4 linked regions of the Drosophila melanogaster genome follow. The protein of the gene in region 1 interacts with the protein of each later gene in a pairwise test. Each region holds a gene or a part of one and is shown in the gene's direction. Other genes may lie near its edges.

Region 1 (7,196 bases):
GCCCCGAATTTGTCACCCCAACGTTTTCCAACGGGGCCGGAAAGTTAATTGCCAAATGACACAATTAATGCCGGAGCTGTGGCAGTCGGAAAAAGGCCACAAGAACACACCCACACAAACCGGCCAAAATTGACAGTTGGGGGCCAAATGGAGGCGGCTTAACCTCAAGATTAATGTACGGCAATTAAACGTTTAAGTGTTGATTAATGTGACTTTCTGTTTGGCCAGGATCAGCAGAGCCACGAGAGAGGCAGGAGAATGCAGTGGCCAGCTGCTCTGTCAATCTCACCTAAAGGAGAAGAAAACTCAAGCAGCTCGGCCTCGCGTTTTTCCATTTTCTCTGATTGTTTTCCTTGTCGCTTTGTTTGTAATGGTCGTCTTTCGGATGGCCATAAATTCCTTGAGTAGGCACTGCAACAACTCAAACTCAAACGGCAAAGACATTCGCATTTATCATCTTTACGGGTTAACTGCCAAAAATGCTTTGAGGCGCCCTGTGGAAAGTAGAAAGTGGGTGGAAAGTAGAAAGTGGGTGGCAGTACGAGTGGAATTGCTCCATGCCTCACCAAATCCACAAAGTCAAACAATGTTGTATGCTTTACTAGTTTTATCATTGCTGCTCTGGCTCATCGCCCCACCTCCACCTTTGCTATCGTGGTTTTCCCTGTTTCCTAGCCATATTTTTGCTCATCTTCCTTTATCCCATTTCACCCAGGGAATTTCGACTGCGTTTATCTTGTTGAGTAAGGTGAACAGAACACGAAGCATAAACTATGAATGTCAGATAAACAGCCGTTAGCTTCGCAGGACCAGCAAAAGCTGAAGGATTTGAAGGGTTCGCATTAGTGGGTGAGCGAATTTTAAAACCATTAGGTCGTTTTTGCTTTTCAAACGAATCCTTTCCGTCCATAAAGAGTGAACTTTATTGGCTTGGCTAGCATGGCATACTTTTGACGCAATCGTAAATTCCACCGAAATCGCCAAGGGAAGAATAAAAATGTTATTCGATTTGCAACGACAGCGAGCGAAAGCAAGGCCATTTCCTAGTAAAATTAATAATGGCAACACAAACTGTTATCTAGTTCAACTTCCATACTCGCGAGTAAAAATTGAAGCTTTAAAAAAGGAAAAGATTTCGTTAAGACTGCTTTTCAAAATTCTAATCACATTAAATATATAAAAACACCTTAGATTCCTAATGTTTTAGAGACGAAGACATATCTTCTTATTATGTCTCTATTTCACGTGCTTACGAATATTTAATTTACATGTAATGCGAGTGAAACTTAGTTTGTGCTTAGTGCTAAACTCGGCACATGTATTCAGTTGCGGATCAGATTTATCTCTCCAGCAATAAAATATTCAAGACACAAGCATATCAACTTACGATTTGCCTGTCCTTGCACTTTTTCTACCAATTTCACAGATTTCCATCAACTTGGCTCCTGCTGACAGGCGAATACTTCCCTACCAAGGAGCAGCTATCCGAGGGGAATACAATGGCAAGTTCTCGTGGCTGGCAAAACAAATGACTAGAAGAGGCTAGAGCAGCATTTCTGCTGATTTTCAAATGAAATTTTAATGAATGCAAACACACTCACATGCAGATATGCCATATACCAGATACCCATGGCGAGTGCCAGGAATCGAAACTGAAACTGAAAACTGAAACTGTTTTTCGTGCCATTCGTGCGTCAACGAAATGTGAAATCTCCAGAGCGCCAAGCGGCCAAAAATCTGTCTGTCCAAGTGTCCATCAGTTTCAGCCAAACGACCCCGAAGGCACTCCCACTTGGCCTCCAGTAAAAGCAGCAGTGTACATTTACAACTTTTTTAGAATCAGCATTTGGGACATTAGTTGACTTTTTAAAAAAATTCTTATATTTTTTTTTTCTAATTTTGTAAGAGAAAATGTAAAAGTTTTAGCTAAGATATGTATCTAATGCCGTGGAGCATACTTCGCTTGACTTAAGATATTTAACACATGACATTTTACAGGGTACCTCAAAGTCGACTCACTTTGCTTCACCGTTTTTTATTTGCATTGGTGGCTGTGACCCTGCCACTTAATTATTTATCAGCCAACAGCGAGAACCTTCAGTGTAAAACTGCAGAACTGCAAAACATTTTCTCCTCGTGTTCATTCACTAAATTAGTTGAAGCATACATCCGTTAGATACGATTCTGATGATGAATGGGCGGTCGGTTAATTGATACCGAAATTCGCAAATGAATACCCATTGTTCATTGTTCGGTTCGTCCTTTTTGGCCGCTTGACTGCTGAACAGACTGAACAGGAACAGGTAGTGGGCAATTAAAACGGCTGAGGCTAAGGGATTTGCTCCTGATTCAGCGCCATTGTGTGTGAGGCGGTGCTGATGTCTTTAATTAAATTTGCCTTTAGCCGCAAATCCTTTTATGCCGCCGCCATTTTGCTGGGGCTTCCTTTGGCATTTGACTTCGCCTTCGTCTGATGCCTTCCCAGTGTTTTTCTGTGCGGATTCCAAGGATGCAACCGCAGTTGCCCCCGGGCATCCCCAGCTCCTGGCGAACAGCGGCGGCATCTTGTGATTTATTATTAAACATGAATATGAATTCCTGGATGGAATGTGCTAGGCGAAGGCTGCAGGGGATTGAGACGCGAGAACTGAGCAAAAGAAAGAAAACGCTGCCAGGACCTGTTGGCATTTTTATGCCAGCGTTTTTATGATTAATTAAAATTTATGCCCGAGCAAATTATGCTTCCAAATACAAAGACCCATAGACCCATAGAGCCATAGACCCATGGACCTATAGAACCGCATGCGTATAAATATTCCTATTCAACGCGCGGGCATCAATTCCTTGTGGACATCAAGTCGCGTGATTAAGATTAAGAGGATTGTCATAAAGAAGAACACAATTTGGGCAACTTAATTGGTGGCACTCGAGGGGCGAGTGGTGAATGGGGAATGGTGAGTGGCGCGAAAAAAGCAAAACTATGCCGAATGTCCGGAAAAAAAAGTAAGAGCATTTCATATTTATTAAAGCAATAAAATAAAGTAGGAACCAACACGGTCGTCGCCCAGATAACGTGTCAGGACCCAGAGAAATATCACCGTGTCACCCACACACCAGCCTACACCCACACAAGCACTCGTCACACACACACACACACACACACACGCACGCAGAAAGAGACACTCCCACGCACACCACCATTGTAGCTTTGGTTGCGGTTAACGTGCAAATTTGTGTGCTTCCGTCACGATTGGCCTACGGATTTGTCGTAGGTCCCTGGGCAAGGATTCGACTCGAATAAGTTAGTGTGGGCAGGGCCATAAATTTAAAATTAACCCTTTACAAAAGGAGCACAGCTTTTGACCTTCAGTCGACGCGCGGCAACATGCTTAACCATAAATCCTAGGGACCGAAAGCCTCTTCTCGAGTTCTGCGAAATTAATCTGCTTTGCAGGTGGCCCGTTTGTGCATTTTAAATCAGTAAAAATAATTCCCAGTCACAATACGATTAATTAATTGAATGAGTTTCCACTCTCGAGCCAAATGGAATAATTCAAGCATATTGGCTCGGATGGCAACCGATAAGGGATATTCGCAGCAAAATGTCATTGCAGTAGCAGCACGCCATACAATAATAAATAAATGGGAAATACGACTTGGCTTCGGGCATTTTTGAAACAGGGCCGAAATGAAACTGAAATGAGGGAATAAGGAACGAAAGTCGAACGGACTGACTCAAGTGGTTGCTTCGCAGTCAAGACAATTCGAAAAATGCTTTTAAAAGGAAATCAGTAAAGGAATTTCGCTTATGGGCAACTGATTGTGCCATCGAATCGGGCGGAACAAGTTGAACAAGTACCGGAGGGTTTGGCGGAACAGGATGGAAGCGATTTTTTGTTGTCCGCTTTTGCCTTTATTTTGTTTTTCTCTTTCTGGCTGAAACACTTGGAAAATTGAATTGTTTTAGATTTTCCTTCACTTTGGGGCTCTCCCTGCCGCAGCGTATAAATCAAATTGGATTTTCTTGTGCACTTAACTCCGATTGACCGAATCGGAAGTAAACCCAAAACTCAATCACAGGCTATCGATGAAAAGTTCATTAGTAGGCTGGCAACGAATTGTTTAGCGGCATTTATTTCAGTAATCTATTGAAATCGGTTGAGGATGGCGTATATTCGAAATTTTCTGAATTCCCCCAATGACTGGACCCGACTTAATGAAAATATCAATGGAATAAAGCCACTGAATAGCTGCTTTTATTTCTTCAGCTTGAAAACGGGCTGCAATTTGATCGCCGGATTCGAAGCATTGGTAAATGTGCTACAAATGTGCAGCATTTACTTGTCGGAGATGGAGGTCAAGACCACAATCACAACTACGGAGTCACCGGATTCGATGCTTGTCACTAGGGAACCGGACGGAGATATGCTGGGACCCAACATGAGAACGCCTATGTTTGAAACTAACCTCTTCTTCCAAAAAGCACTAATCTCGTTGACTATCTTCAGATCAGTGCTACTTATTGTAGGTGCAGAATGGGTAAGTAGCTTTCATACGAGTTCAAATAATACATAATACTATACTCTTTCCAGAGTCACATATCCTGTCTCGTCCTTTGGATTTGTATTACGGTTATAACCTTGTTAATTAGCACTTGTAATGATATCATGCAAGATGACGAGCTGCTGACTTTTCTCTTTTCTACCATTTCTATTTGTGAGTAAAGAAGTAGTAGTAGTATGTGTATACCCCTTCTTAACCCTTAACTTTCGTTTTAATACAAATTTCAGTTCTTGAAATCTATTTCTGCGCAGTGGTTGCCTCCTTGGTTTTGAAATTGCAGCAAAAACTTCGTCGTAACGTGCAGGAATCGGAAGTGCTGTTCACACGAATGGAGGAAGTTTAATTAAATTCAAGATAATTAAACTATACATTTAAATTTGCAAGCTCCTACTTACAATTATTTAATTTTTACTTGTGTTGTTGCATTCCCAAATTGAAAAAGCATGTACTCATAATAATTTGGAAAAAAATACACAATATACTGCAATACTTTGTCATTTTCATATCTAAAACAATGCTATATAATGCTGACTTAAAAGCGTTTTTAGCTTAGTTATATGGTAAAGCATATGGTAATTTAAACAAATATTTCATTGGTAGTTAAGTTATAACATGCCTGGCCACTACAACCAATTTTTGAGCTACATATGTATGCACAGATTGCTACTTAAACATGCGTTTATTGTGGCTAAGTAATTGCATTTGCATTCAAAATCATGAAACATACACGAGCGGCGCGAAAACTTGCACATTTGCATGGGAAAATCCAGCAAATGTGCACACTGAAAATATAAAATATCGGGGTGTAGGAATCTCAAAAATTGATTGCACTGGCAAATTGGACAGGAAACAAAAGGCTGAAACGCTCGTTATCGCGATAACGAGTATTTCATCGTCGAAAATTGAAACCAAATATTGAGAGTATCGAGTTTAAATTCAAATTCTTACTTTTGCGTATGGCGATTTTTTGGGCGGTTCTCGCGAGGAGGTGGCCGCTGCTGCCGTGGGCGTGCCGCGTTTGTTGGGCCGATTCTTTTTGAGAACGATAACGCGCATGATGTGGCAGATATATATATATTTATTTATGTATATATTTTGTGAGAGAGGGGGTGTACGTGTGTGCGTGTGTCTCTCGGCTACTGGTATTTATTTACGCAAAGTGTTTTTAACAAACAACAAATTCGAGGTGTCGCCGTGGTCGCTAGTCTCTCTTTCAATTTTTCAAGTGATGGCCGTTCACAAACGGATTTCCACTCCTCGCGACATCGAAGTCGGATTAAGATATAGCTTTCGGATTTGGATTCGGATGCGAATTCAGATGCGGATACGGATGCGAAGTGTGTTGTGGGTGGTTGGTAGTTGGTAGTATTTTGTGGTTACAAGTACGTGTACGGGTGCTATTGCGACTGCACCCACATTCGGGTGGTGCGGTGCAGGCACAAAGGTCACGAAATTACAAAATGCAAAGCGAGCCGAGCCTCTAGCTCTAGATAGATTTTTACATAGTTGATGTTGCAATTACTGAGTAAGAATAGGTTAAACTACATCTAGATTAGCAAAGAGTATTGGTTATTTACAGTACATACGAGCTAGCTAGATTGATTGAGTTGTGTTTTATTGGCATTAGTTTGCACTAGCTTCTGATTGGTGAAATTAAGCGCTTGGCCACGAATTTCGACTACTTGGCTAGAAATTTGTTGTAGAAGGCAGGCAAAAGATTTGAAGTAATTCTGGCAGTGCTACATTAATTCGTTTTTTGTTTATTTATATTCTTTTCTATTTGTTTTTTGATTCGAATTCGTTGGGCGCACGGTGCGTATGCGTGATTGGTTAATAAAGCTAAGTTATTTTACATGGACTGTCGACTAGTTGGTTGCATTACTATTTTGATCATCGTTTGGTTACTTACGCGCTGCACTCAATTCAATTTATCTTGTGTGTGGCTATCAAAATAGAGAACAACTCGCCTAGAAAAGCCTGCCCTGAACTGCGCTCTAAAATTATGCATATATATTAGGAGGATATATATATATATATGAATGGTGTCTGTTTTCGGGATATATATATATTAATATATTTCAATTTTATTTGGATTTAAGGTTTGTGTTTCGTTTGCATTGGTTTCTTAGCTAGCCCCTCCAATTGCGCGATTGGCAGCCAATCGCACCTCAGTCGCGACGAAAAACGACGACGACGGCGCGTTTACGGATACGGATACGGCTGCGGAAGTACGGCTACGGCTACGGCTACGGCACTACGGCTACGGCTAATTTGTCGAACGGATCACCCAAGAGCGGAGCTGGCGAGCCGCGTTACGTATACGTCGAAGTGCAAGCACGTGACTGACTCGGAGCGACCGTTGCACGCTGCTTTTATAAACAGCTACATCGGGAGATGGCTCGAATGTCTGGCAACGCTTCGCATGCAATTTTCCGCGCGCGCTCTCTCTCTCTCTCTCTCTCTCACTCTCTGTCTCTCTCTTGCTCTCTCTGAAGTGACTTTTCCGAGCCCTGTTCGGCAACAGCTGATTCACTTGCAGGCCCAGAGGTTGAGGTTACAGTCAAAAGCCTGATGGTTTTTCCCAAACTCCCACGCAGTAATAGTTTGTCACACCAGAAAACACAGAAAATCGC
Region 2 (6,785 bases), on another chromosome or scaffold:
CCTCGATAACCGCTATGGGTGCTATTAAGTCTTAAGGTCGAGCATTAGAACCTTAGAGATAAATAAAGAATGTTTCAATGAATTACGAGTATTAACGTGGGATAAGCTTTTTCCTTGCCACTATAATCGAATGATGACTTTGAACGGAATTACCGATATTTAAGATTGGCTTTTGCTAACAGAAATTGCACTTAGGGGAGCTCGACTGTGGTGTGATAATTGAATCCGCCTGAAAGTGTTGGGGCAGAAAACCACTTTTGACTCATGATCCGCGCGACGGGAGCACGACTTGGGAATAAGCCAGTGACTGTGACAAAACTTCTCCGCAAGTACTTGTGAGTCATGCCCCATTGCCCAGGGGGGCAGGGGAGGGGTGGGTTGGCTGCAGGAGGGGCTGCAGTAAATGCAATTTAAATGATCATTAGGCGCATGAGTTTTATGTTGCCATTTAATGAGACGCAAATGCGGTGAGATGCCTGGGAAAGTGGCCGTTGCAGGTGAAAGGAGTGTAAAGGTTGGCGCAAATTGAAAGCCCTAAAATAGTTTTGCAAACTGATTTCTGTTTTTGAATTATCTTGTGTAATAGATATACATTTACAAACGTTTGTAATGTATACAAGTGTGTCTAGTACACTGTATTTATTTAATAATCTAGAGATGATCGTTACTTATCATAAACTATTATTATTGCAACGGATTTTGCTCAGGTGTTTTCAAAAACAATAAACAAAATGTTGGCTTCCTTTTCGCCATATTAATATAATTTATATTGCGCCTTAAAGTGGCTCTGGACAAAAGTAAATATTGCTCGGCGGCCTTCACTTACGTATTGAAGGTCTTCTGGTAGTCCTTGATCTGGTTACGGGAGAACTCGGGGAAGTCGGTGTAGACGTTGACCACTTTGTAGGTGCGACGCACCTCGATGCCCGCCTCCTGGGACTCCATGATCTCCTGGCGCCGATTGAGGATGTGCGTCAGCTCGGAGCTGTCCGTGTTGGTGGTGCTGCTGGGGCTGTCCACGCTGTCCTTGTTGGAGGCGGATGAGGCGTTCGAGGAAACGGACATTGTGTCGCTCCTTGTTGACTCGCTTTTTAGTGTGCTGGAATTTCCCTTTCTGCCCTTTTCTGCTGCCTTCTCACTCTCTCTTCCTTTTGGCACACCCACGCAAAAAGGACCGTAAAAGAGATGTCCGGATACACACACAAATGCGGCGATGCGCCAGGAAAACACACACGGACTCGTTGCACGTAAGCTTTTGTCGTGGGGAGTGGCCCTGAGTCCTTTTTTGGCTTTGAAAAAACAGTTGCAAGGTGCGTTTGAATTGCCGGTCTTTTTTTTTTTTTTTGCTGCAAATTGGCTTTCTTATTGGACAACTGGTGTTCCGCTTCGACCGCCGCGACTACCGAATCTTCTGAACGCTGAGAGACGAATGAAAGTGCGACCGTGACACGAGCGTTCAAATATACCAGCGGGCGCGGCGGCATTTTTCGAGTGACCGTGTGCTGACAAATACCAAAGTCAGCTGAATTTCGAGGCAATATATATACCTTACAATTTTTTTAATTCATTCTGTTACTAATAATGTATATAATCATTATTTAAAGCTAGCTGATGAACAGACGGTTTCAAATTTTACGAAAGTTTTTAACTTTCTTAAGCAAAATATGTAACCGAATATTTATTGTATGTTTATATAGTTATAATATAATTATATAATTAGTTTGATCACAAAATCAATCTTTGTATAATTTTAATGTTGTTCCCAATAAAATATTTAAATTTAAGATTCTTAAATATATTACGGCATATGAGGTATACAGACAACCCTAAACTATCGTCCAAAGCTCCCAGCCCTAGGTGTGCCCGCATTTTGATAGCAATTTAGCAAAATTTTGTAGAAAATTGTACCGACTGTGATTGTAATTCGTAATTGTTCAATAAAAATGGGCAGTAAACTGTTTAACAAACTCTTGCTAATTGCCGGATTTGCCAGCCTGGCACATGCTGCTTTTTCTGCTGCCCATCGTAAGTTTTCGTCACTGTTGTGGTAAATAAACTTTGGACCACTAAGTGCCGCATTTACTCCACAGATCGCACCTATTTGAGGCTGACGGAGCAGGAATGGAATAGCCTTCCATTGGACGTAGGTTTCGGTGCATTTAGGGTGCTTGCATGGTTACTCACGAAAAGTTTTCCTTTATCAATCCTTAGATTATCCTGCAGACCGTCATCAGTTTGGTGATTGTGATTTACAACATCATCGAGATCGTTGGCAACTTCAAGGAAATTCGCGCCACCGTGGACATGCAACAGAAAACTTGGGACACCTTGGGCAACTTCCCCTCGTTCTATTCCTTCAATCACCGTGGTCGTGCCTTAAATCCTGGATATACGCCCCCGGAATAAGAGACCTTTCTTTTAAGTTCTGCTATCCTTTTATTTATAGTCTCAGCAAGTTACAATATAGATAACGCTAAAGATCAACCAAACTCCGTAACCTGCATTCGAAAATTTGATGGATATTGCGGAACTCTTGCCTTGCAACAAGGACAATGCCTTGGCCTCCAGCTCATAGCTGGCTCTTAATTCCCGGCCAGGACTATTATTGCATGCCTGACTGTGACAAGTGCGACAACTGTCGAAGTGGTTACTCCTTAAGAGACATTCGTAGTATAGCTCGGGATTGGAACGACATCCTCTTACAATTTCTTTACTGTTGATGTCAAAGTACTCCAAGCAGGCCAATTCTTGATCCTCCGGCTCATTTGCTCGAGCCGGACAAGGCATAGCCGTTTGTCCCCTGGAGATCTCCTCGCAGTCCTGCACTCCCCTACACTGATGACACCAGAGGCGCTCCTCCGGAAATGATCCTTTGTTGCAGAAACTTCCTTCGCATAGTCGACAACTGGCCACATTTGCGGAAGCACAGCTGAAGTCCGATTTTTGGCAACCTCTCGCAGTGGTGGCGTTGTTAAAGGAAACAACCACACATGGTGCAGCCGGTTCATCGCATTCTTCAATGTAGATTTCGCCAGGACTTTCCCAATTTGCACAGCCTGCTCCCGCTTGATCCGTGCTGCATTGGTAGCACCGGGTGAAATCCTTACTATTACACCCAGCGCCTTCATCGCATTCATAGCACTTGGTGATTTGAGGATTTTCCGGCGGTGCTCCACAGCCTCGCTGAATACTCCAGTTGGAGTACTCACAGGAGAAACAGGAAGAGGCCTCAGCGGAGCTACAAGTGCTATTAGCTATAGCCGTAATATTTGTCCGGCAAAGTTCCTGATCCACGGAGTTGCATGTAAAACACTTCTGCTGCGTAATGCATCCTGCGTTGCAGTGGTCACTGGTATTACACTTTTCTAATTGCTCTACATACGGCTCCAAATCTGTTGGAATTTTAGTAGAACATCCTCTGACAACGCGGCTTAGTCTGCGAAAGCTGAAGCAGTACTTATCCTCTTGCTCACCCAACAGAACATCCTGCTGGCATTCCTCGTATAAGCTAACATTGCACCTGCCGGTGTTGACCTGAAAGAGATCTATCTTGCAACCCCGGCCGATTGCTGAATCGCAGGTGGCGCAGACTTGGGTCCAAGCTCCTTGCTCCTCATTGCAGCCATTGATCTCACACAGTTGGGCGGAAGTGGACAGCGTGTGATTCTGCTCGGAGGTACAACCTCTGTAGGCATCTGAAGAACTTATGACATCCGTGTAGCACTGATCCTCTTCCAAATGATAGCGACAGGGTTTTGGTTTGGATGCTGGAGCTGCCACGCATTCCTGTCCAGCGCAATGATGGCACTTAAGTCGTCCCGGCGGATAGACACCCGCATTGCACAGGTTCGTTGAGCAAGTCTTTGAGTAAGTCGCTCCGATGATGGGGGTTTCTGCTCCGCAGCCGCGGTATGTAATGGAGTCCACTAATTTGTGTGCGATTAATGGTATAGAAAATCGGAGTTACTAAATATTTCAAATATGTATCAATCAATATCAATGGTCTTTACCTTTGAAATATTAATGAATTGCAAAAATAGATTCTATAAAATGGCCGACTATCCGTCGATTTAGAAACAATTACAAATCACATTTAGGTTCACTTACCAATGGACATGGCACACGTCAGCTCGGTAGCGCACTCCTTGTAGGGAAGAACTCCCACTTCTCCGAGGGTCTGGGAACATTCCGGCAGGGCAATGGAATCGCAGTGGTAGCAAACAATGCCAAAACAACGGTCTGCTATTAAAAAAAAAAACCCCTCTAAGGTTACAACGCATTTTTCCGTGGGAAATCGCAGGTAGCTCACATCTCAGGAGGACCAGGAAAAGGAGGAGCAGGTGGTGGAAGCTTGAGTGGCGATTTGTCTGCAGTCCACGCATTTTGACAGCTCATAAAGAATGTAGTGCACCTTTGTTTGCAAAATTGGAATCCCTAATCTGTTTATGACTTATCAGACAATATAACAATGAGTTGATATAGGCGAACTGTTGATAAGGATAAGCTGGAAAAAGCCATTTAACTTTAAAATAACCAAACATTATCATTTAAATAAAAAGTTACACTCGCTAAATGTGTTCTTAAATTGCCACCATAAAAAACTTACGTTGGTAGAAATTCTTCAATTATTTTAAGGCTTAAAATAGAGAGTTGCTTGATGTCCTAACGAAATCCTTTCGATATAGATAATTTCCCAACCACAGTTGTAAGGTTACCCAACTTTATTCCGGCATATGCATAATGGCCAAAAATGTCATGACCATAATGTGCTCTGTGCCTTGACCCCATTATCGGAGTGTCCCATAGGTTCCATCGAAACGTTCACATCATCAATAATTTAAGGGCTCGCATTTGTTGCGGGAAAGTCTGGAGCTACTCAAAAGTGTGGGTCAAGGGTCCGGCGACCGCCCCAACATATCGATTTAATTTAGAGACCGGATAATTGCGTGACAATCAGCGGATTCGAGTACACATACCACATGTCCAGGCGGCTTAATGACCATCGACCTCAGTTGCCAGCTAAACAGGCACGGGACAAGTCGGGAATAACAAACCCATCGGTGGCCAGAACGGAGCAAATACCCATGCTTGCAGAGCTCTTCAAAACGGGGATAAACCGATAACGAAAGATACATTCTGATAAGCCCATCCACTCGGCGGGTTCCGTTCAAGATTCATTCGCCATCCGAGTCATACACTCTGCGAAGCTACAACCGATCGGTGACCACGATGCGGATGAGATTGCTGGTCATTTGGATTTCCCTAACTGCTCTCCTTGAATGGAGCAGGGCGCAGGAGGACAACATTGAAGAGTTCAGCTTAAGCGGCGGACTAGCGGGTGAAAAGTCAGAAAACTCAGGCATTGAAGCCGGTGAAAATGACACAGAATCCCTAGGACAAAGTCACTTATTTTTGAACACAACACAAAGTCCAACTGATGACCCTGAGCCTACACAGGAACTGTCATCTATTGAAAGTCAAGTTGGACAGGTAGGCCACCAGTCTGGAGAGGATGAGAAGGAACCGGAAATCACAAGCTTAGACACTAATTCGGAAACGGATAACAAATTAGAAGGGGACAAAGAAGAGCCAGAAAAGGAATCCACCGGGAATTCCGGTGGCTTTGCGCCAACTCAAGTTCCTCAAACCGACAAAGTAGACCAATCGTCCGGACATATGGATACTTCGGACTCGTCTTCAGACTCTTCAGTGACTCCCGATACTCGCCCATCAACTTCACTAGAGGAGGTCCTGGAAACTCACCCAACAAACAAAACTGAGGAACCAATGGGAGGATCGCCCGATTACCCGGCTGATGGGCCCCAGGAGGACACCACAACTCCACCCCCAGAAGAAACAACCTTGGCACCACACAAGCCCCCAGTTGCAGATCCAGAACAGAAACCCCTAAGCTGCTATTCCTGCATGTTCTGCAACAAAACGATCACCAATGAAACAAAGTCAAACTGCGGCCCGATACCTGGCAAAAGGAATGGATGTCGCACCATACTGCTCAACGATCCCAATGTCGTTCCGGGGAAGAAGTACTTCCTGCATCGGGGCTGTGTATCCGAGTTAGATATGGAGCTATCTCGCTATTGCGCCGAGAATGAGAAGCTGTGTCCCACGTGCTACGAGGACAATTGTAATGTTCACAACATGACTGAATATGAAGTCACTCCGGGCTCTGCAGCAGTCACCCATCATCCGGGGGTGCTATTCCTTATCTGGAGCATCGGTTTGGTTAGCTGGCAGGTGGCTTTTTAAAAATCCACCCACGCTATTCTGAGTCATAACAATTAAAAAGTAAATGGAGATTGGCATACTTAAAAATCGATAGGTATGACTAATACTGAAAATCGCAGATTATATCGCTGTCTGTCTAGATAAATTAGTTTATCTATGAAATACATAAGCCCAATTAATATAAATTTCTGTTACGAAACTTAATCTATTTGCAGCGCGTGGGGATTTTCGTTTTCTTTCTTAAATAGTGAAATATACTGTACTTAATATGCAAATGTATATAAAATAAAGCATTTCAAGGCGAAACATTTGATTGAGAACATAACTAGTACTTATATTACAAGATAATTATTGTTCAGCAGCTGCTTAATGGATCAGGGATACTGGGAACGGTTTTTAAATTTGGTCCCTTGAGTACGTTTCCTGAAACCATATCATTTAGAGGATATAAAATGGCTCAACAGAACCTAGACTGCAGTTGGCTAAGTCATCGAAGCGTGTCTATAAGCACGGATCAGCGGAACCAAAATTGAATATAT
Region 3 (9,140 bases), 270 kb from region 1:
CTTGCGGACAACAACTGCGTCCTGGCACAGAGCCAGGCAGCAGGTCAACAAGTAAGTAAGTAAGTATGTATGTACATACATATATATGTACGTGTGCACAAGTGCAACATCTCCATCATCGGCATCATCATCGTCGTGGCCGGAGGTTGCAGGTCGGAGGTCGGAGGTCGCCAGTCCTGCGCTTGATAATGCTGTTGCGTCAGGAAACTTGAAATGAATTTGCATAAACTTTGGGCCCCGTCGTCCTGAGTCCCAAATTGAAATATGCCAGGCTGCCAAAACAAAAGCCAACGAACGGCAACAGCAGCAGCTGCAGGTAAAGGAGGGCCACTCCTCGTACTTCGTCCTTCGTCCTGCGCCCTGTCGACAAGGGTTAAGAAATAGGTTTTAGGGTTGCCACGTTGGCAAGCTGACTTTATTTGCAATATGGAAATATTTTTCATTACCTTGTCTCCAACGGAACCCCAGTTTAGTGCCCCTCCCCCCACTCCTTTTCATGTCAATCGCTGGCTGTCAAGACGCTGGAACTCGTATCTGCACTGCTTGTGGTTCAGCATGCGGATGCGGATGTGGATGTGTATGCGGATGCGGATAGAGCTGTGGCGCTTGTCTTGGCATATTTTATGGCAATATTTTTGATATTCCCTGTTAGTCGCTCAACCACTTATATGCCAATTTCGCAGCCAAACTCGGGTGAAGTGAATTGAAGCGTAGCCAAATCTTCTTGTGTCTGGGCTTTAACTTCTAGCAAACAAAGGACACTCTTAATGGAAGCTTAATCCGTAGTCATGTGATGTGGAGTATACGAGTTTCGTATTTAAAGTATTAAAGCCCAAGCAATCCATTGATGTCTGAATGCATCTTTCTAAACTCAAAGTTAATGCTAAAACGGAAAAGTTTGGATATAATCATAGGTATGTGAGTGTACTTAAAGTATAGTCAAAGGTTTTGAGCATAAATTAAATCAAATCGTGGACACATAATTGCACCCATGTTGCATACGTCCTTTAACTCTCTTCAAGCACTTCAAGCCACGGTGACCATATGCCAACCCATTGATCTCGCTTAATGAACACTCGACCTGAACTGACTGCACTCGAAGTGCCCTTGCCGTTGGCTCTTCTGGCAGATGCGAATGTGGATATGCGGATGTGCGGATATGCGAATATGTGTCGAGAGGGCTGAGAGCGAAAGTCACAGAGGCTGGTCCAACAATTGAGCCATTGAGTACCGATAAAGTCATTCCCGGAGCATTGGCATATATGCACTAAACTCCGGATACCAGATATATACATGCATACGTGCGGCATTAGTGGTAATCCCTAGTTTGCCAGATTGCGCTTATGCCACTCGTTTAAATTGAATTGCCACGGCGCTGCGCCAGCGACTTTTAATGCGTTCCATGCAAATAGAGGCGCTCCTTCAGCGCCAACTGCCGGGCACGGACAACAATTACGCGCATTATCCTTTCGACTGGACTCGGACACGGACACGGACACGAATCCGGATCCGGACGATAACACGGCGTTTGCTTAAACAAGCATAAATGCGAAGCGCTAAAAGGACACTAACAGCGAAACGGAAGCGAAACTGCTTAGTTCGCGAGTCGAAGGATTAATGCTCTACCAATATTTCAAATTTAAATTAAATAAATTAAGAAAATACAAGTTACGATGATCCCTTGACAGAATCTCATTATAACACAACTAGTTTTGTAACTTATAAAATATCTGAAGGAATACCACATATTTAATTAAGCTCATTTGTTTGGTACCAATTTAGTTTATAACTTTTAAAAATGTAGATATTAGTATAGTTATTTCAAATTAGCTTCTTATTTATGTAGCCCAACATCGTGCAGCGCATTGGTGCTCTGAAATTTTAATTTGGCTAAGTAGCAGGCAGTGACAGACAGTGGCACTAGGATGCGAATACCTTGTTAGTGGGAATCATTCGGATTCGACCCATAGATACCCTGCATTCCCCAGAGAATCGCGTGCCCTTGGACTTCATTTCGTGGCCCAGAATGACCCAACCTCTCATCGCCCTGCTACCCTGCGTAGCTCGAAAAAACGCTAATTTAATTTTAACTTTGTGCATCCTTTCCTCGGACCTTCTGCAGGACCTTCTCCGCTGCTTGTCCGTTTATATATATGTACTCCAACCGACTTGTGTTTGATTTCGCTGTCAGCGTCTTTGGCACACTTTTGCAGCGCATTAGAGAGCTCAACTTTGGGGGGAGTGGGGCGGAAAGTTAAAGTCAGAAACGGAGACGGTATAAGAAAAAATGAATCTCGAAACGGACGCGAAAGAGTAAAAGTAAAATATTTGTCCTGCCACGGCCATTGCAAGTGAACAGCGCTGATTGCGGCACTAAAAAGAAACGGGTTCTTGTGCGGCGATAAGATTTTCAGCATCACCATCATCCGACTGCCAACTGCCAACTGCCCTTTTCATTGCGACTCCCAACTTAATCGGTCCGAAGTTTGGCCATCGCCGTCTAATGTGCTTCGCCAAACTTTTGGGTCCGGCTCAAAGGCAGTTGGCACCTCGGACCACTTTCAGTTATTTACGCAGCGTCGCCTGAACCTGACAATCAGCAGCAATTTGCCTCAGCGCCTGGGATCCGCACTCGAGTCCCATCCACATCCACATCCGCATCCGAATTCTTATTCTTATTCAGAAAGCATCCGATAAGCATAACAGTTGTCGTCGTGCCGCCGGCTTACACCTTGAAATCGGATTTTTAGGGTGGGTTCAGTGATGAGCAAATAAGCAAAAAAAGTTAAATTAAAAAAAGAAGTACGGTTATTTATCAAAATAATTTTAAAATATTATTATCAAAAAACTTTTAAATATTATTTTGGAGTAATTTTTCTAATTAGATACATATCAGGTCATATTTTATGCCTTTCCAACCGGGAATGGTATTTTTCCATTAGCTGAATGGGTTTGAAATAAGCAAGAAAAAGGATATATTGGCACCTCTGGTGGGTTCGGTGGTTTCAGTGGGTGGCTGGGCGTCTGGCGGCGGTGCGCTGCTGCCAACAAATCGTCGCCAGATGGTGGCGACAATAAAACGTTTTACAATGTAACCAAGGCGACGACAAGGAGCAGGATCCGTGTGGCCATGTGTGGACAACAATGTGCAACAAAGTTCATAATTGTTTATGGCGACGGCTTCGATTTGATTTTTATGTCTTCAGGACTTGGGGCAGTGATTGAGTGTTGGTCTCAGGCCACAACCAAGGGGAAAAATGTTATAACCTCTAGCATTCAACTGTTGTAAAGAAACCTTAGAGTTTTTACATGCACCCGAAATTCAATTAAACAATTGTAAAGTAATATATTTAATGGTAACTCACAACTAGTCGTTTCACATACTTTCGAAACCATTTAAAACTTAAGTACGTGCATGAAATGAAACTTTAAATTCACCCTCATGCATCCATGGAATCTAAAGGTATAACATTATGGCACATAAGTTGCTTTTCGTTTTCTATTTGGCTTAATGGCATAGAAACATTAGGGATGAAATTTCAGACTATAATATTCCCCAACCTGCGGGCCCCGAAACTCCCGCCAGTCCGTTGGCTTCATTATATTGAAACTTTGACGTCGTTATTTTGCATAATTTACAGCTCGCTTGAATGCAGCAGCCAAGTATATTTCTATAACTACGCCGGTGATGGGCGGAAAATGCGGGGGGAAACTGCGCGTGTCGGTTGTCAACGCTACCTTGGCACATGCGAAACGTGAACTTCGAGACATCGAGTTAATGATTCGCACTTGTTCGCCCCCGCCACGCCTCCTTTTTCGACGTTTATGAGGCAGTAATGAAGTTGATTTATTACATTACACGACTTCTCGGGATCTTCGATTTCTTCTTCAGCTCAACGCACAGAGCATTGAACTCTGCATAGAAAATAGATACGAAAATAGACGCATTGTGACTGCAGAAGTAGCCGGCTGAACTCAAACATCTGTTCCGCTAGTTCCGCCGGATCGAACCATTTCCTAGATGGCTATAAATAGATAATGTAACGCCCTAACTCCAATCTCAGACACGCGTCTGCGATCGTCAGCCGCGACTGAGGGCTAAATTTAGAATGTGGAGAAGTAGGGCCCGCCAGCCACCCAAAAACATTAGTGTGGAGCTCCAACTTCAGTTTCCTTAGGAGCGCCATGGAGTGCAGAGCTGTTCCCATTCTACCCACCTATTCTCAAGCCTGGTTCGTAGTGCACAGTTTTGGATTAGCAAATCTACTAGTTAGTTTTTATTCAACAGTGGTACTCCTATGCCCCGGAAAACGTCCCTCTGCCGTACACTCTTTGATTATGGTCCTCTAAACGATCCGGTGATCATACTCATAACACTGGCCGTCGTAGTTGGATCCTTTTGCCTGCTCAGCGGATTCATTTTACTGTGCGTTGTCTCAAAAGCCTGGCAGGATGAGACTTCCGAGGCCATTCTCCTAATGGGTGAGTAACAGTGCTATTGAATTGATTGTTCCTATGATGAACTTTGGGTTTATAGCGATTGGCTTCTTCATCACGGCTTTGTCCTGCGTATCGTGGAAATTGACGCGAGCTCAACGAATTTCCCAGTTAGTGGATGCCCTCAGCGTAGATAACCAAACCATTTAGCTTGAAAGTATCTAACGTAAGACATATGAAAACTACGAGCTTGCAATTAGTTGCAATATACCTGATAAACTCTAAAACGTTCAACATTAGGGGCTGTCCGAAGTAAGATTGGTCTTAAGTTGTTTTTCCTATTCGCTTATGTTAAAGTACATGAATTATCTTATCAATGTCACCTATTTAATAATCTTGTTTGCTTTATAATAATATAATAATAATAATATTTAATATTAATATTAAAATATTAACCGAGACTCCCTGGTTTCGGACTAACTTAATACATAAGTGGGCTAATCAACGTGCCACCGCACGCAAAGGATAACCTCTCATTCGGTTTTGAAAGATTCAATTGCAGCAAGGCCATCCAAAGTCGAGATCCCATTTGAATCTCGCTCCCTCCAGTTATCTTCTGATCCCCGAATTCTCCGCACGAACTCTCACTGGCAATCAGCACGAATTCCTCACAGCAAATGAATTTCTTTGAAAGATTGGAATATCAGCATATGTCGCTTTGTTAAATGACCACTCACTTTAGAATTTGAAAAACAAGGGGCATTCCTCTTTATTTCCAAGTCCTTGGCGGTCAGCTGGTCCTTTGGCTTCGAAACTATTTTCGCGATGCACTAACATTCTCTGTAGTGTAAGCATTTGCCTGGCTTCTGATCGTAGGTGGTGCAGTATGTTTGATCTTGGGGAGGGAAACATTACTACAGGTCACCCCTCATCTGCTGGCACTTACAGGGCTTCTCTGTTTGGTTTCCAAAGGGAACTGCTTGTCCGGATTGTTGACCAAGTTTAAGGCATATGACCAGGAGCAGCAATTGCAAAACCGTCATTGCGCCACCAAGCTCTGATATGAACTGAATGCAGAAGACAGTCAAACTTCAGAGGAATCTCTGTGGATTATCTGATTACAGGTAGCTTGATTGCATATTGCAGTGATTAAATTTACAGAGAAACAAATAATGCTGCAGTGCAGGATAGAGAACATTAAATATTTATTTTAAATATAAAAAAGGGTGAAGAATGAATGCGTTGATACCATTTCTGTTAATATCTTTGTTTTCGGCTAACATAATTGTATCTTAAAGCTGAATTTTTACTGAATTAAGAGAAGATTTGCTCATCAGTCATATTACTAGCATAAAGAGGTTTTCGGTTAGATACACATCTAAAGAGTAAACCATATTGCGAATTGTAGGTAACAAGAATTTGATCCTCACTCCATCCTGCTCTTAAGGACATGACCTACCCCTGGGCATCTGGAGGCGCAAAGAAAATGCAGCTGCTTGCGCCCCTACCTGAGATCAAATAGTCCTTGATCCTCAGTCCGAAACGAGAACTCATCGAGAGATGCCACACTTGCAGAACATCGAGCGGGATTTTCCCCTTAACTGGACCTTGAATCCCATTCGGATCTCTAGTAGTCTCGCCGCAAATACTCTTTCCTTATATCGAAAGATCTCGCAAAACATGTGGCGCAGTTGTATTCAATTTTGCCATAGTCCCAAGTTCCAGCAATATGTTAGGTAAGTTTGGATACAATGATATTAGATATACATATAAAAAAATGTCCCTCCCTATATCGATTCTTCCAGATTCCTCGAGTCCAGTCTCTGTCAGTTTTAAAGAGCAATGATCCAAGAAAATGCGTCGTCGCCTCGTCTTCAAAACAGATTGCTTTTGATTTGCAATCTTGGCACGTTGACGATGCCAAAATTTGTTAGTTGAATTCATTATAGCGATACGCAGAGAGTCAGTCAACGATCTCGTTCCGAGAGGGGGGTTTCGCTTTGTTGTTTCAGAGTTCTGAAATACAACAATTTGTGGCATTGTAAAGTGCTCGTAACGCGATTGGGTTTGGGGCATTTCCAAGTCGGCGGCTGGGAAACTACCCTTGCCGCAGCAATTCCACCATCCAACCTTCAGTAGGGGGAAAACACCTCGCTTGGAGCTGCAATAAATTCCGGTCGCTATCAAGACGAGCGTTCAGTAACGTTTCAAAGCCAGACGCGCTAAGATTGCTAATTCCAAAGCTTCGACCAGTCGACGAGCATCAGAACATGGAGCACATTCGATTTGTTGACAAAGTCTTTAGAGCCCTGATCGCCGGCACCCTGCTGCTCCTGATGACCGCCATTTACCGGGAGGACAACAACTCCGGATCCCACTACATCCATCCAAGACACGCCATGCAGTAGCTCCATCGTGGTCTACTAAGATCGATTCAACCTAGTCCGATGCAATCGAATCTCTCGAAAGTGCGGCACAAAAACCGGTTGTGTATATTGCCGGCTCGACGACATATCGCCATATCAACTAACTGCACAAATAATGTTATGTTATATGTTAATAATGTTAATGTTAAGAAACATGTGTAATTATCTATAGCTCATCCCATCGTAACTAATCTAACTTATGTGCTATAATGTTAATACTTAGAAATTAGTTTTAGTGTGAAAATATAATATAAAATGCAATGTATATGAACACAACCATTTTGCTCAACTTGCAGATAACATGGGATCGGGAGGGCTCTGAAATATCGATTAGCAAGAGCTATTCGCACTCTTTGCAAAACAGGTTGCAATTTCATGCGATCCGAACTTGTTTATAGAAAACATTTTTAATGGGCCAATTTCAAACGACTTTAGCACGAATTTCTTTCTTTATCCGTGGCATACTCTAGAAGCTGACCTTAGCTAATATAAGCAATCACGTTTTGCTTATTGGAACAAGTGTTTTGAGCAAATTAAATTTCCGTGCAAAAGAGCTACAAGTGATATGAAGAACATTGGTACATACGACTAAGTTTTGCGGTATTTCAGTATTTTAAAATTGTTTTAATAAATAAATAAAAAATTACTAGAAAATGTATTATCAAAACTAAAAAATGTTTAATTATTTAAACATTACACAATGCATTTAAACAATTTTTCAATCTACATACATATCCTCCTAATTTTACATCACCAACGCTTAGCATGGTTTTCAACCAACAATGTAAGATCGAATCTTTTCTACATGAAATGTAACAAATATATGCGAAACTTGGCTAAAATAAAAAGTCTTGAAACTCAGATGGATTTGTTATATGTATAACAAGAAAATCATAATCAGTCAATTGAGATTAAGCCAATAATATTGTAATTTTTTTAAAAGGAAAACAAGATTTGTTGAGTTTCTTTGCTTAGAAACATAGAAATGTTAAATGCGACATAGTCTTTATTGTTCAACATTAAACTTTTTAATTTATTATATTAAACAAGGACTAGCAATGAAAGCTTACTATTGATATTATATTATTTCGGGTAGTAAAATACTGGAATTTTATCGACCCATTTCTTTAATGAACGGTTCATATCCGTCGAGGGTCCGTATTGCCGTACCACCCGTTTTATCCAGTCAGCGTAGCTCAATAGATCCATGAGAATGCCAGAGTTCTGGCACTGGCCCTTCACCCTGCTGGCGATGCCCAGTTGCACATAGCGGTCTGAGCCATTGTGCCACATTTTGCGGATCTGCGGAGCCCCGGAGTCGGTGCTGCAGAGTTGACTCAAGGTGTTGCCGGCGCAGATCTGTTCGAACGTCATATTCCAGCCATAGATTTCGGAGCACGTCTCTTTGGGTTGGCGGTCGATGTTCATGGTCCGAAGAACTTTGCTCGTTGCGTTAGCGGCAGTTTCACGCCAAACGGTGGTCGTAAACCAGGTGAGCTGGTCTATCGGCTCCTGGAAACGGTTGCTTGCGAAAATGCAAATCGGACGTATGTGATCTGCATATGTGAAATGCATCGATATTATAAAAATGTCGTACTCATATCCTAACTAGACACACTTAAGTACTCCACCCTCCTTCCGAGTCGCAGCATGCCGATGTCGTTGGTTTGGTCATTCGCATTATAATACCTATGCCTGAAGCCCATATCCACATTGTACTCCTGGAAGGGTTCCTGGCACAGGTGGTTGTCACAGTCCACCTTAGTCTTCGTGTTGTACTCTCCCAGGCGAACGGTTCTTTAAGAAAATAGTTTAATTAGATTCACACTGAGTATAATCGTAATATATAAATATGTTTTTAATGATTAATTACATTAGCAAGTCGTCCGGAACACAGTGAGCTGCCGTTAAGACGAACACTGAAACAGAGTTGCATTAGATCTGCACGACAAGTATATCATATGCAAACATACAGTGATTAATTAGAGTGCCAGAGCAATGGAATCCTTTTGGAGTTTCCAAATAGGCCATCCATGGATTCTGCGCCAACTTTGCATTTACACTTCGTTCAGAAATGTTATGCGGAATCCCGCAATCCTCTTCCAGGAGCATTTGAAATCCTTGCACGCGACGCCACAGACAGCAAATTACTGCGATTCCAATGATGAAGTTGCTCATTGCTTGGAGGTTCTTTCTGATATACTGAATTCTCGAACAGCCTCTGCAGGTTTTATTCGCTTCACAAAGTGGACCCCTTATCGCTGGTGCCGTTCTGGG
Region 4 (7,739 bases), on another chromosome or scaffold:
GGCGGCGGCGGGAAGGAGTCCTCCCACGAGGTGGTCGTCTCCTCAGGAGGACATTCCGGCTGGGGTCGGGAGCTGGACACCGCCTACAGCGGCTGGAAGCCGGCGGCCAAGGAGTCGGCGGGCAGCGCCAAGAGCCTGTGAGCTCGCATTTGCATTTGGAAACAGAAGTATCTCCTAGAAGGGAGATTCTCGGGAGATTATCGTGGAGAGTGAACCAAAGAATCGAGCGCCGCAAGAACTGTCTGACTAATGTCTAGTTTAATTCGCCTTATCGATCCTTAATTTAACGAACTAAATGTGTGTGTTAGGTTTAAGTAAGCCCTAATTAAATATAGTAAATTCTGCTACCCGAAATTCGCATGAAGATGAGTTTTTTATGGTTTCGTGGCCGCTCCCCAAACATGAATTTATGATGACAATTAAGTTTCATTGAAACGGGCTTACGTGCGTGCCAAAAATGGCTGACGAAGCTGCTTCGCTTTCTACCAAACTCAATGTCAGATGTACGATATAAGGTTGCAACAGCAGTTGATTTTCGATTGGATTTTATATGTAAGTATACCTAAAAAGAAATTAACTAAGTAAATATTAATAAATAAATGTACTTTTAAAGACTTATAACAATTTTCTTTAGACACTATTCTTCGCTTCTCTATTATTGGACAAATATGTTTTGTTTGCTAACATTGGTGAAAGATGATTAACATATTTGAATACGTAGTTTTCCACTTGGATTCCTTCAAATAATTTCCCTGTAAATTCCACAATGCAAAGTTGACTTAAACTGCACATGCAGTTTTCTGTTTTCTGTTGGCCTGCATTTGCTGAATGCAATATTCATAGATAGAAAATTGCGCGCCACTTTCCTGGCTTCTTGGCTCATATGTTTTCCCTCCCTGTCCATTGTTGTGGCTACCTTTTTTGGTATGCGACAATTTCACTTTTGGGCCACTACACGAAATATTAATGAGCTGCTGCCGCTCAGTGTAGAACATTGAACCTGGCCAACGACGTTCCCAAGCCCCTCGCTCACTTATTCAGTTTGTTAGTTGTGGGCGCCCTTTGCTGGCGCACCACTGACGTCATGGGGGGACTTTCATTAATTGAAAATTACCCAAGCGCACCAGAGGCAGAGGCATGTAAACAGCGCCGGGCTGCAAACTAGAGCCGGAGCTGAGCTGGGCTGAACGGAGCTGCCTTAACCCGGAATTCCATTCCAGCCAAGCGGAATGAAAGTGAAACTTTGAAAAGGTGTCAATTTTGGAGATGCCACTGAAAAGGTTTGGGGCGGCTAAGCGGGTGGGGCCGCAATTGAGGATTGTTTGCTTTGAATGTGCGATGCTTTAAGGCGGTTTTATCTCTAGAGCGAATATTTCGCATGCTTATTTGGGTCAGCCAGCGAAATGGCCAACTATGAACGAAGGAGCCATCAGAAGATAGCTTGCGAATTAATTGAGCGCACTCTATTGAAATGACTGGGCTAAACTGAAATATTAATACAACTAGTTGTATTAATATGAAATAAACTGCAATTACTAATACGTTTTAAGAGTATTTAAGAGCTTTTCTCCTCAATAAAACCATAACTTAAATTTTAATGTTGTTTCTATATTGCATCACTCAATGTTTAAAGTGGCGCAGTTGAAGTTGTATAAGATGTTAGCAATTAAATTACTTTTTCACTTTCGTTGCGCACGCACAATGCTAATAACTTGCATCATATTGACTCTTTAACACTCTAACTGGGACACAAAAGACGTACTTCACTGGGTTAAATATTTTGATAATTTTTATGTATATTATAAATATTAAGTGTGAAAGACAGAATAAACAATTTTTTCCATATTTCTCCAATTAGCTTGTGTGTAATAATGTAAGAAATAAACTATTAAATGGTTGTTTTCAGTCCGAAGCTTATGAAATATAAAAAAAATATATATTAAAGGTTTTCTATCAAAGATTTTTCATGTAAAGATAAATATTTAGAAGCATATTTATGCATATTATATCACGTTATTATTATCATTATAGATAAATCTAAAGGATGGACTGAATTTGAAAAGGGCCATTGCAGAAAGGGCATTAGATGAGACACATCACACATCGTGACAGTGGCTGGCATATCCAAATCCAAATCTACATCCACATCCATCCATATGTTCACGTGCACGGCATTTACATATTCCATCAACGGATTTTGGGCTCATGTTGCCGCTTTGGATAATCGTCTGCGAAATGTCGAGTGGCTTTGCATCTAGATGCGAGCTGTGTGTTTTGTGTCTGTGAGGTTGTTTTCGGCAGCATGCAAATTTGCGGCGTAGCTTTCTTTCGGGGCACTTGCTCGTCTAATGCGTGAATTACCGGCTAACGATGAGCGATGGACGCTGGACGATGGACGATGGACGATGGACGGCGGAGCGATGGGGCGGCAGGCAGACGTGTGGCAATTTTTGAGTGCTGCAAATTAAAGCGACATAATGCCAATGAAACTCTAGTGCGACAGTCGCTGTGCATCCGTCGACGGCGATCGGATTGGCATACAAAAGTGCAGATACATTATGCGAGATGCCCGCTGGGGGCACAAACAAACACATAAATAAAAAGCAAAATTAAAGTGAAATTTCCTCCACCGTGCCGCGGCAGCGCCAGCAAACTAGTTAATTTTCTATTTTACTCCAATTCGAGTTGCGGTTGCTTTCGACCATCGCCGGCCATCTTAAATGGCGCTCTTGATTAACCACCCACCGCCCACTCCCGCCGGACTACCACTCGTGTGTGTGTGTGTGCGGTCTGTGTGTAGGCAACTGCAATTTGAAATGAAACCGCTGCTGCCGGCACTTTCTGCTGCACTCGAGATTTACACAGTGCTGAAAGTGTGCCATCATCAGGTGGCGCCTCAAAGGTGCATCAAATACGTTAGCCACGTATTACAGCTTGTTACATTTTACCTGGGTCTGCTGTGTAATCAAATAGTCCAGAACTAAATAACAACTCACAGTCCTTCAACCAAATAAATATGCAAAAGATTTGTAAAAAGTGGAAATACAGGCAAGCGTCTAGTTGGGAAACAAGCGGCTTTCAAGAGCGTATTCTCCCTTTTGCAGTGAGTTAGAAACCTCACATGATTTCAAAGGTGTTGCAAACGTATTGTGTGCAAAAACACAACATAAAAGTAAATATGTAATGGAAAATTCTGTTTATTTTGAGCCTTTTAGCTAAGCTGATCCCAGTTGGAAGGGTTAATTAAATTGAATTTAAGCTGCCAGTTATAATAGCATATGCCGTATTCTAACTCTGCAGTGACCTGCAAAGAAAAATCGCTCCTTTTAAAATGTATTTTGAAAAGCTGGCTGACTTAATCCAGGTAAGGTACAGTTGCACCCTTGTTTACGAAAAGTATTGTTCTAAGCATTACCACATAGGATTAAGATTCTTATAATTCCAAATTTTATTCTTATAAATTTAATTCACAAAGCTTTCCCTTAAAGCGACACGTAATGCAAGAAAAATCAATATTTAAGGGCTGGCCGATCTGTCTATTGGCCCCCTGAACAATTGGCCTTCTCCTTGTGGCAGGCAAACAGCTAACTGCCGCCGAAGTGTGTTGACAAACAACAACTGCCAATCCGACGAACTCTGCCAGCGTAAACGGCGACCGCGCCACCGCGTCCACTTCGGCGCACCTGTCCAGTTGTCGCTGCAGCGCCTTGTATGGCCGGCCACCAAGACTGTGCGACTCCGAGTGCGACTTCGGCTGCAACCTGGCCAGGTTCGTGGTCGGGTTGTTTATTTAAATTCTAAGCTCGGCTACTGTGTGCGATGGGCCAAGCGGGGCAGTCGGGGGGCTCAGACCACTTGCGGAGCGCTAAAGCGTCAACGTTGTCGTTGTCGTCGCTGCTGGCCAACGCTGCCGCCGCTCTGCTGGCCGGGAATAAAACTCGATCCGCGTGCGTCTTCTAGCCACAGTTTACCGGTTGCCTTCTGACCGACAGATCGAACACGCCAATCGAGCGCAGTGCACTCAATCAAGTGAACACACACACACGCATCCCCGAATCGCCAGGAAGTGGCAGGATATCAAATCAGCGCAGCAGTGTCGAGTGTTTGTGCGAAGCATTCAAAAAAAAAATAATACAAAAAAGGAAATACCCATCACGAGCCATGTTCAAGTTCGTGTGCCTTTTTGCGCTGATTGCCTCCACGGCGGCGGCTACCTCGGAAGCGGACAGCTTGCTGACCAGCGCTTTGAAGATGGTCAAGGACTGTGGCGAACGGTCCATGGTCTTGTGCATGAAGGTAAAGCATTTAGTTGCCAGTAGCCCGAGAGAAACCTATCCTAATTCATGATCCACCCAAAGGAGCGAGCCCTGCACTACTTCGATGCCGAGAACGGGGATGTGCGGCTCACCGAGGGCATTGCCCTGGTCAAGACCGATGAGATCCCGGTGGGTCGATCCCTCAACGAGATGCAACTGCCCGAGGAGGTTGAGGCCCGGGAGGCCGAGGTGGACTCCCTGCTGGTGGAGCGCGTTGCCCGCTTCTTCGGCACCCACACGCTGCAGTTCAAGGTGCCCAAAGACTCCATCCAGGACATGCAGCGCGCCCTCGAGGAATGTGAGTATCTGGCTAGTACCCATCGAATCCCACATAAATTACAGTTCTGGTCTGGCCAAGACATTGCCTATTTGGGTTACTAATGCAAGCGACCAGTTCGGGCAGATGGCTCTGGCACAAATCCTGTTTTCACTGTTAAGTCTCCGCCATATCGAGGTCATCCTGTGATGCAGCCAGATGCCCACATAGGCACATGGCCACATGGCCACATAGCGGTGCATTGGCAGCTGGTTATCCAGATAGTTGGCTATTAATTGCACTTTAGTCAGGCAGTTAGCAAGGCTTACTTTCTTTTTGTGCGCAGCGGCTGCAATTTCCGATTTCCAATTTCTATGCGCAGCCACATAGAAAGCGGTCGATCCTGTTCGCTTGCTAATTATCTGTGCTCCAGTTGCTAATGAGCGGACAGCTCCGCTCCAGCGAAAGTAATGCAAATCATATAACTAACTACCAAATCGTTTCTCCCCCTGCAGCTCGCGGCAAGAAGAAGGAGAAGAAGAAGTACCTGATGCCCCTGCTAATGCTCTTCAAGCTGAAGATGGCCGCCCTGCTGCCCCTGGCCATTGGCTTCCTGGCCCTGATCTCCTTCAAGGCCCTGGTCATCGGCAAGATCGCCCTGCTGCTCTCCGGCATCATTGGGCTGAAGAAACTGCTCGAGTCGAAGAAGGAGAACTACGAGGTCGTTGCGCACCCGCACTACGAGCACGAGCACAGCTACGGCCGCTCGCTGCCATCTGATGACTCCCAGGCCCAGCAGCTGGCCTATGCGGCGTATAAGCAATAAGCTGCATGCCAAATATTCTGAATGCTGAATGCTGAGGCAACCGTAATCAGTGCAATACTCGGAGGGCCGTCTAATTTATCTATTTATTTAATTTATTTGTATAGCATAGTTCATGCCAGGCTTACACACTTAAGGCGCCATCAAGAGAAATAGAAGGAAAGGTAAATCCCGAACCCACACAAATAGGTCTAAGGAATCAGCAGCTAGGGACTGCCGCCAGAGGGGAACACCTGGCGTCGTTTAATCTATTCTTAAAAATGACTGCCACTGTCGTATTAATACTCAGAGCTTTATTATTTAAAACTCTACGCTTAACTTAACTTAACTCAACTGAACTCTTAACCAAACTATTAAACTAAACTGCCTAACTCTGAACTGCCGCTAGGCGCAGAAAAAGCCCCCCTGGCCAAGCCCTCCCCCACACAAAACAATAAAAGAAATGCCGCATTTATTCCGAACATGTGTATTGCTGTCTTACTGTTTCAATCGAATATCGCTCATACGCAGCGAATTGCTTTCACTCTTTCACCGGCTAAGGCGAACTAGGCCAGCAATATCAATTGCATGGGCGACACACAAAATCACGGAGCAAGATCGCCGGATTTCACTTGAGCCAGCTAGTCAGCCAGTCAGCCAGGCGTAAAGCGCAGCAGAAGCCTCTTCCTCGGTCTCGGTCAGTTATATATAAACACATATGTATATCCAATGTCGCTCCAGAAACTGGCTCACATCTCGGCATCTCGGGAAAATCTAATGAATGTTGCGACCTGCTTTTTTGTTTTTTTTTTTTTTTTTTCGCACACGCAGTGCAACACGTACGCCCCAAACAAATTAGGTGTGTGGATGAGAGCATGGATTCCAGTTCCAGCTGGGAGCACGCCCCGCGGCTGCAATTTATGGCCGTGGCCTGGCATCGCCATTCGGCATATAAATGGCCAAAGCCGACAAAACCCAAGGCTCAAAATGGCCAAAAGGCCAGGCCGCCGCCTCGTACGTCTTTTATTTTTTGTTGCTAACTATTTGTAAACAACTGCAGGCAACTGGCAGTGAATTTCAAGTATTGGCGGTGAAAGTGTTTATTAATACAATTTCTTTTCTGTCGCTGCGCTTTGCAATAGGAAATTTATTAGCTGTCGGCCATTGCCCGCGACCTGGCAATAAAAGAAAACAAACTTTTGTAAAATTACCAAAGTTTTCGGCGACAACCGCACAGGCTAAACCGTAATTCCAATGCCAAAAATCCTTAAAATTGGCCTCGAATGATCGAATAACTTGGGAGGAGTCTAAACTTCTCGAAACTTTATCTTCTCGCCTGTCTACTCAGTTTTGTCAGGGGAATTGGGGTGTTCTTGAGTTCGCCAAAGGTCTTGGGGTGCTAAGTTATCAGAGACTTTCATAGGGGGATATTCAAATTTCTCCCACAGCATTGACTAGGAAAATACTCACCTGTTTTTGCTGGTATTGCAGTCAAGTCTCTCTTGACGTGCTGGCATCACCAAACCAAAGTCTTAACTCTTACTGGCTTCGCCTAAAAGTTTGCTAGGACTTAACTCTCGAACTCAGGGGATTATTCCACTGATTTGTATGCCGTTTAGCTTCATTGTGAAACTGGTTATTATGGTAAAGGAAACGTACATCTTTGTTCTACAAGTAATAATGTAACGTTCTGAAACTTTTTCGATGTTTAAAAAATACATGTAAATAATATTAAAACGAGAATAGTTATGGAACTAAAAAATGTATCATTATAAACCTTTTTGGGTTCGGGTTTTCCTTAACACCCAAACCAAGTTGATTTCCCAAACGTAAATCGGTTTCCCTCCTTTCCGCTTGTTTGTTTTCTTAATTGACTTGTGGCAATTTTCAAGTTTTTCTCTGTAAACGATTGAACATTACTGGTAATTCCCTAAGCGACTCCGTTCATTTAATGGACCGGCATTAGCAATGGTAATTGTAAATATTCCGCGTGGTCCGAGCGGTGGCGCCTCCAAGTATTTCATAATTCCTGTGGAAATACAATAACTGCTTGCATAATGGGGGAGATGTGCGAAAAATTGGCCACCAGTCGCTGCAGCTTTGGGTCGTGTGCACTGACCATGACCATGCCGGCTTAAATAAGAAGCGGCCCAAGACGAAGAGCCCCTGGTTGGCGTTGATGTACAACAATTTCCGTTATTGGGCCATGTGCAAAAAACAGCGCGTTAACTGAATGAGAGCAGATTTAGCCAAAAGACCAGTCGGTTATTGTATAACAAGATTTGGCGGATATAAAACAGAAGGGTCAGTTGGCCAGCGGGCTCAGTTGAGATCAAAACACTCGACCATTATGTCGCCACTGGAT

Evidence for each region.
Region 2: the proteins of CG34188 (region 1) and EMC5 interact in a two-hybrid assay, tested with the Drosophila melanogaster proteins (one large-scale study listed by BioGRID).
Region 3: the proteins of CG34188 (region 1) and CG30080 interact in a two-hybrid assay, tested with the Drosophila melanogaster proteins (one large-scale study listed by BioGRID).
Region 4: the proteins of CG34188 (region 1) and Osi9 interact in a two-hybrid assay, tested with the Drosophila melanogaster proteins (one large-scale study listed by BioGRID).

Annotation. Positions count from the first base shown.
Region 1 is NT_033778.4:15,424,943-15,432,138, reverse strand, and holds CG34188 (uncharacterized protein), read left to right. Parts: upstream 1-4,115; 5' UTR 4,116-4,164; coding exon 4,165-4,539; intron 4,540-4,592; coding exon 4,593-4,716; intron 4,717-4,790; coding exon 4,791-4,906; 3' UTR 4,907-5,048; downstream 5,049-7,196.
Region 2 is NT_033779.5:18,985,846-18,992,630, forward strand, and holds EMC5 (ER membrane protein complex subunit 5), read left to right. Parts: upstream 1-1,861; 5' UTR 1,862-1,943; coding exon 1,944-2,025; intron 2,026-2,090; coding exon 2,091-2,143; intron 2,144-2,211; coding exon 2,212-2,406; 3' UTR 2,407-2,448; downstream 2,449-6,785. Other genes in the region: Swip-1 (Swiprosin-1), read right to left, coding at 827-1,065; CG15170 (uncharacterized protein), read right to left, coding at 2,449-3,926, 4,108-4,242, 4,310-4,382; CG15169 (uncharacterized protein), read left to right, coding at 5,230-6,267.
Region 3 is NT_033778.4:15,696,721-15,705,860, reverse strand, and holds CG30080 (uncharacterized protein), read left to right. Parts: upstream 1-4,164; 5' UTR 4,165-4,185; coding exon 4,186-4,232; intron 4,233-4,288; coding exon 4,289-4,482; intron 4,483-4,537; coding exon 4,538-4,647; 3' UTR 4,648-5,997; coding exon of another isoform or gene 5,998-6,173; intron 6,174-6,242; coding exon of another isoform or gene 6,243-6,273; 3' UTR 6,274-6,707; coding exon of another isoform or gene 6,708-6,845; 3' UTR 6,846-7,135; downstream 7,136-9,140. Other genes in the region: CG46433 (uncharacterized protein), read left to right, coding at 5,998-6,173, 6,243-6,273; CG42662 (uncharacterized protein), read left to right, coding at 6,708-6,845; CG33462 (uncharacterized protein), read right to left, coding at 7,947-8,419, 8,482-8,660, 8,737-8,782, 8,837-9,041.
Region 4 is NT_033777.3:6,256,252-6,263,990, forward strand, and holds Osi9 (osiris 9), read left to right. Parts: upstream 1-3,959; 5' UTR 3,960-4,161; coding exon 4,162-4,296; intron 4,297-4,358; coding exon 4,359-4,614; intron 4,615-5,087; coding exon 5,088-5,398; 3' UTR 5,399-5,854; downstream 5,855-7,739. Other genes in the region: Osi8 (osiris 8), read left to right, coding at 1-141; Osi10a (osiris 10a), read left to right, coding at 7,725-7,739.